Macaca mulatta: one gene and its partner. The protein of the gene in region 2 interacts with the protein of the main gene of each other region in a pairwise test. Links are inferred from orthologs where the notes say so. Each region holds a gene or a part of one and is shown on either strand. Other genes may lie near its edges.

Region 1 (4,348 bases), on a different chromosome or scaffold from region 2:
AGAGATACCATATCATCACAATCACTGGGAAACTCTTTGAAACTATACATGTCCCTGCACTACCTTAGAACTAATACATCATCTTCTCCAGAAGCAGAACAAAAGAATATGGGGAAATAATGTTGTTCAGGCAATCCTGAAACACATCCTGGTTAGGTAGTCAGATTTAGGGGAATGAAAACATATCCTTCAAACCAATCCTTAGCTAACAAATATTCTAGGTGTCTAAGTGAATGGTCCCAATGCTTGAATAGATATTTAAATTTTCTACGTTTTCTGAGCTGATGACATCCTCCTATGAAAGTTGAAACCTAAAATGAAAACCATGTCTTTTCTCTTTCTGTCTCTTTAGCAATGAGTAAAGGCATAATCCACAGGTAGGCTCAAATAGACCTTAGAAAACATTCTATCTCCAAGATAAATAAGTGATCCCCAAAGTTTCCGAAGTTCTGTGCCAGAGAATGTGGCTGAAATAAAGTAACAGGTATACATTTAAATCCGAATGCCCACTTTGGCCATTAAAAGAAAAATCACAAGCCAAGAATATCTACTTAAAGCATTAGCTTTCAAGTGGATCTACCAAGATGAACTAGTTGTAAAGTGTACTCCAATAAAATAAGTTGATCTGTTACACGGTTGTTATGAGCCTGTTAAACTGGAGGATATCTGCCAATCAAAAAAGGCAACCCGAAGTTTAAAGAGCTGATCTTAAGCCTTCATTTGTCAAGTAATGAGACTACATGACTACTTTTGCTTAGAACCACTTCTAATTAATGACAATAAAATTATGACATTACCATAAAATGCTTATTTTTCTGTATTCTATTAATGTATATTTATCATGTAATATTTGGGGAGGCAGAGGGAATAGAGGAAAATGTTTTTAGTCACATTAGAAATCTTTACAAGAGGGGCCTGGTGTGGTGACTCGTGCCTGTAATCTCAGCACTTTGGGAGGCCAAGGTGGGTGGATCACTTGAGGTCAGGAGTTCCAGACCAGCCTGGCCAACATAGTGAAACTCTGTCTCTAATAAAAATACAAAAATTAGCTGGGTGTGGTGGCGCATGCCTGTAATCCCAGCTACTTGGGAGGCTGAGGCAGGAGAATCGCTTGAACCCAGGGGGCAGAGGTTGCAGTGAGCTGAGATCACGCCACTGCACTCCAGCCTAAGGACAGCCAGACTCTGTCTCAAAAAAAAGGCTGGGCATGGTGGCTCATGTCCATAATTCCAGCACTTTGGGAGGCTGAGGAGGGCGGGTCACCTGATCTCAGGAGTTCAAGACTGGCCTGGCCAACTTGGTGAAAACTCGTCTACTAAAAATACAAAAATTAGCTGTGCATGGTGGTGGGTGCCTGTACTCCCAGCTACTGGAGAGGCTGACGCAGGAGAATCGCTTGATCTGGGAGGCAGAGGTTGCAGTGTGCTGAGATGACGCCACCGCACTCTCCAGACTGGGTGAGAGTGAGACTGTCTCAAAAACAAAACAGAACAAACCAGAAATCATTACAAGATCTGTTAAGAGGCCATTTCCTATCCACCTTGACTATGTCTCTCAAGTATATTTTAATTTAAAATTTATCTGTTTTGAACAAAAGTTTTAGGAAAATCAATTTATGGTATTCTTCTCCATCCCCCTGAAAAAGGGAGAATAAGTGGCAAGAATTTTCCAGAGCCTCAAAGATGAACTTACTGCCCAAGAGGCTTGTTTTAGAATCTCACAATTTGTACTTGCGCTTTTTGTGGTATTTAGGAATTACAATATCCTAAAAAATGTAAACATTAAAAAGCATCATCATCATAATGAGATATTGTTAAACAGGCATGATAATGGTATTGTGGTTGTGTTTTTAAAAAGTCCTCATGTGTTCGACACGATTACTTACAAGTGAAATAAGATGTCTGGGATTCCTTTGAAATACTATACTTCAGCACACTCACAAACATGCACAAAGCGGGGTGGAGATAAAAGAAATGACTGGCCTTAAGTTGGTAACTCTTGAAGCTGGATGATGGGTACACATCATTACACCATTCGATTTTTATGTATTTCGGAAACTTTCCATAATAAAAAAAGCATTATCTTAAGATAGATAGATATCACTCATTTTAAGAATGATTCTTTTGAGAGATTATCTTCAGAGGCTTAATGAAAGATCTGATATCACAAAGTAAAATGTTTTGGCAAGTTTATGAAGGGTAGATATGAAAAAGTATTACAATTGAGAAAAATCAGTTAAAAGTGAACACTCACAAAACATTTAGGGAATGCTAATACACACACACACACACACACACACATATATATATATTCATTCCAGCAGTGAAAACACCAAAGTGCAGTTGTAAACCTGAAACTCCAAACCAAATACAATTCAACTTCTATCCAGCCACTGAGTATGCAAGATCATGGTAGGCGCAGGTGTTTGGGGAGGCAGAGCATTTAAGCATTACATTTTGCAGTTAAAATTAATAGCCAGGAGAAAGGGGGCAGGAACTTGGTGGCTGGGCAGACGCTCCAGGGGCAAACGCCTGGGATCGTGGCTTTGTCACTTACAGGCTGGGACCTTTCCAAGCTTCAGTTCCTCCAGAGGGGATAACAGTACCTACCTTACGGGGTTGTTGGGAGGTTTAATTATAAGAATGCATGCAAATAACAAGCAGCTCTTAATTGATAGGACCTGATGGTGTTACTGTTAAGGACGGAGATTTTTACACCCTCCAGGGTGAGATAGGAACGCCAGCGGCTAGGAAAAAAAAAAAAGAAAAAGACTCAGTGCTGTCTCCGCCCGCCCGTCTCCGAGCCTGAGGCGCAGGCCCATGGGATGCTCGGGCTTCTTTTAGGCGCCTGTTTCAGGCTCCAGTTCCGCTCTCCGCTCAGCCTAGGGTCCAGCCTCTGGCCGTCAGAACCAGTAGAGACGGCGATTCCTCAGGTCTGACCCCCCAGCAGGAATCTGCGGTGCGCCTGCAGAGACGAGCATCCGCAACAACCTCCGCCTCAGCCAGGCCCGAGTTCCATCCGGGTTCTCCAGGGTGCTTCCCGCCCGTAAACTGGGCGAGGCGTCTCCCACACGCAGGCGCAGTAGCAAAGGGCTGTGGGATGGGCTGGCGGGCTTGAGTACTGAGCATGCGCGCTGGCCCTCCCCCTTTCTTTGAGGTTGTGTACGTGGAACACAAAATCGTTTGTTTATTGTGTCTGCCAGAGAGGATGAACCGTACAATTTCAGGAATGGAAGGGGCTACAAACTACACATAGTTCTTTTTAACATGCAGAGCACTGAAACTTTTATATTGTGTTGGGCTTTGAGCTTGGAGATGATAAAACGCTTGATAATTACCATGTTCCATGTGGAATAAATGAGAGAAAAAGAGAAGGAAGCTCATTGTAATCTCAGATTAGACATTTCAGCAGTGGAGGATGAGCTTCCATAGCTTGTGTACTGTTGTCCATGCAGGGTGATCCCCCCGCCTTTCCTTAAGTGGGAACATGGGGATGAATTTCCTTATCATCATCCATCTCAGAGGAAAGATTTTTATTTAAAATTCTTTCAACAACATGATTTCAAAGAAATAAACCCATATTAGAGAGGTTTTAGGGAAAAATCCCAAGTAGAGACTAGGAAACGTTGTTGAAAGAAGTAAACCGGAATATAGCCCTTTCCTGTTTGGGGGTCTTTCCAGAATTCTTATAAACTTAAATGAGTTTACTCATTTTTGTACAATATTGTTAGAAGCATTCTATAAGGCTAGTGTGTGTGAGGAGTGGTGGGGCGTCAAAGAACGTGGGCCAGATACATCATTTTCAGGTGCTGAGGGTGAGCCTGGTAAATATTGAGGGGCTGCATAAGTTTTTGTGGATGCAAGAAACTGCTATAAGACCAGCCTTGTTGGTCAAGAAACTAGGGCCTTAAATACTAGAGAAGGGGATAGGCTTCAGAATCCGAGACAGCTAGCTTCATGTCCTGACTCCAATACTTACAACGGTTAGGATTTGTGCAGATTACTTGGAGTTAATTCCATGTGCTTTTTGTAAAATTGATAGATCATCCATTACCCCATGAAGTTCTTTTGAGGAAGGAGGTAACATTATGACAATTACAGTACATAATTCTCGAAAAGGCAGCTATAATTGAGATAATAAAATCAAAGCTCAATCTGAATAATGTCCTAGGCATTACGATTTTGAGACAGGGTCTCATTCTGTTGCCCAGGCTGGAGTGCAGTGGTGCAATCTCTGCTCACTGCAACCTCCACCTCCCGGGTTCAAGCAATTCTCATGCCTCAGCCTCCTGAGTAGCTGGGATTATAGGTGTGTGCCACCATGCCCAACTAATTTTTGTATTTTTAAT
Region 2 (2,979 bases):
TGAGTCTATTTCCCCAAGGAACCTGACCTGCAACAACATTCTAAGCCCCAAGCCAAGAAAATCACTTGATTTTTCACTTGGACAACCTAACTATTTCTGATGATTTTTGTTTTTTCTTGCCTGTGCTTCTAATTTGTAGGTCAAAGGAAAAAAGCTGCTTTCAAATTTTTCTGATTCTTAATGTTTTATGAAAATGGAAAACAACCCAATAATAGCTTACCTCATTTGGTAGATCACCCAGGCATATTATTGAAGCTCCCACCTCTAACCCACCCTGCCCCATCCATGTTAACACCCATCTCCAAAGTTATGGATCTTAAAGAAACTGAACTCTAACTAATATATGCATTTCCGATAACATACCTAAGTGGAACTGGCTTGTCATTATAGTGTTGGTGATACTGCCAGGCTTTGTTTTAAACAATCTTTCATATTCATGGTGCAGCACTGACATTTTATGGATTCAGTAAGCAATGGGTATTTCCATTTCATGTGTATTAGAATTGTGTTGAACTAGTATATCACAGAATGCTCACAACTTTTAATCCATCTTTATTAAAGTGAAACTGCTATTTCAATATATGTAGAAAACAACATACTGAATATTTTCACCTCTGGGATCAAAAGGAAGAGAACGTCCTGTTTTTAAGATTTTATAAAAGAAATCTATCTCTAGTACCAAATACCATATTGAGATTATAATATTCTTGCAGTCTAAAGTTAAGCTATTGTTTAAACGTTTGCATTGTAAAAAGAAAAGTTCGTGTGTATGTGAGATGTCAAAGTGTATCAAAGATAATCATCAAACAGTATAACAATCATTTAACCCAAAGTCAATGTCCTTTAAATGGAATATATCTTTTTCATTATTTGGTTATGAAATATACAGAAGGTACTCGGGAAGCAACAATGGAAGAGGCAGAAGCATTCTTGGCCCTCAAGAAGCTTACACTCTATGGGGCAATACTAATGTTGAATGAGCAATTACAAGTACAATACAAAAGGAGCTTATATGTGGGAAGCTAACATCTCAGGGAGGGATGAGATTTAAAACTTCTAATGTCATCCTATGCATTGTTAAGGAAGCAAGGAAAGCTCGGGAAAGAACTGCATTAAGACATTTGAGCAAGGGTAAAGCAGAAGGGGAAAACCTCAGCTTTTGACTTGAAATAGACAACATATTCAAGATTTCAGGTGCTTTTTTTTTTTTTTTTTTTGAGACGGAGTCTTGCTCTTGTCCCCAATCTCAGCTCACTGCAACCTCTGCCTCCCAGGTTCAAGTGATTCTCCTGCCTCAGCCTCCCAAGTAGCTGGGATTACAGGCGCCTGCCACCACGCCCGGCTAATTTTTGTATTTTTAGTAGAGATGGGGTTTCACCATGTTGGCCAGGCTGTTTTTGAACTCCTGACCTCAGGTGATCTGCCCGCCTCAGCCTCCCAAATTGGTGGGATTTCAGGCATGAGCCACCGCACCCAGCCAGATTTCAGGTGCTTTCAAAAAGTAACTGAAATTTCATTTTTATTTAATTCCTTTATTAACATATATAAACCTGAAATTAAGGCAAAAAGTATGATATGAGACTCAAAAAAACTCATATCCTACTCAACCAACTAAAAGTTTTTAGGATCTAAACAGGGCAAAAGGTTTCAATAGCACTAACAGCTCAAGGAATGTATGTTAAACCTTTTGTTTTACATCCAGAAAATTAGAAAACTTGGCTAAACATTGTATATATCAGAAGGTTTTAAAAATAATTTGTTAAGATTTAATCTTACCAAAGAAAGCTTGCTCATTTAAAGACATCTTTATACCAGCCTTCATGTCATCAGTGGAAACTTTATTAAGAGGGAATAGTATGAGATACAGAAATAGCATAAACCAAAATCTCACACTTAATCCTTTAATGTTAATTGGATTTCAGTGTGAGTAAATATGACTAAAACTCATAGCAATGGGACAAAGCACTGCTTTGTTTTAAAACTGCACATGTGCTTTCTCCCCTGAGAACCTTTGCTTTAGACTTTTTGTACAGTAAGACATTTCATTAAATATGTTTAGATTTGCAGTCTAAGACCTTAAGTGGCACACTCAATGACAGCATTCTTATAAATTATAGCCAATTATAAGTCCTCCTTCTGGTTTCTCTTCTGTGCTTCGTAAATATGTACATCTTTTTCAGGATCATAGTGAACCTTTCTCACAGTAAACTGCCTCTCCAGCATTGCTAAGAAGTTGTTATCCCGTTCATAGCGAATTCGGCATGCTAAAAGAATCACGGAGTGATTGCTACAGAGATGTTCCAGTGTTTGAAGAAGATCTGTGAATGTTTCTTCTAAATATATGATATCAGCTCCAAGTATCAGGTCAAATTCTCCAGGAGAAAAACTCCCCAAATTCTGTCCCCAAGTCAGCTCCTTAACAACAGTTTTGGGTTGGATATGAGGAGGTAAGTTGGCTTGAACGTTTGATTTAAGAAATTCTAATGCTACTTTTCGATCCGTGATAGTCACATGAGCACCTACAATGTGGGACAAAGAAAAAGTGATGTGCACATCAGTACAGCTCTGTTAGGTAGAGAGGGGGTCAAGTTAAATGTAGAGTGTCTCTTAAATATTGCATCTGATACGCAGAATATCAATCATGCCTTTCATGGACAGCTGCAATAGAAAAATGACTCATAACTCCTTTTGCACTAACTACTGGCAAAAGTGACTCTGGATTTCCCTCTATGACATACCTGCTATTTGCTAAAATTGTGCCCATAAATTGCAGAATTGGCTGGGTGCGGTGGCTCATGCCTTTAATCCCAGCACTTTGGGAGGCCAAGGCGGGCAGATCTCCTGAGGTCAGGAGTTGGAGATCAGCCTGGCCAACATGGCCAACTAAAAATACAAAACTAGCCAGGCATGGTGGCGGGTACCTGTAATCCCAGCTATTCGGGAGGCTGAGGCAGGGGAATCGCTTGAACCTGGGAGATG

What was found.
Region 1: the proteins of METTL21A (region 2) and FAM200C interact in binary tests that used the Homo sapiens proteins (3 or more experiments, as listed by UniProt). The two-hybrid records come from large-scale screens. The link is inferred for Macaca mulatta from reciprocal best matches to the Homo sapiens genes METTL21A and FAM200C.

Annotation. Positions count from the first base shown.
Region 1 is NC_133411.1:169,254,952-169,259,299, forward strand, and holds the start of FAM200C (protein FAM200C), read right to left. Parts: upstream 3,021-4,348; 5' UTR 2,610-3,020; intron 1-2,609.
Region 2 is NC_133417.1:112,878,162-112,881,140, forward strand, and holds the end of METTL21A (protein N-lysine methyltransferase METTL21A), read right to left. Parts: intron 2,520-2,979; coding exon 2,122-2,519; 3' UTR 673-2,121; downstream 1-672. UniProt on the Homo sapiens protein: Protein-lysine methyltransferase that selectively trimethylates residues in heat shock protein 70 (HSP70) family members. Contributes to the in vivo trimethylation of Lys residues in HSPA1 and HSPA8.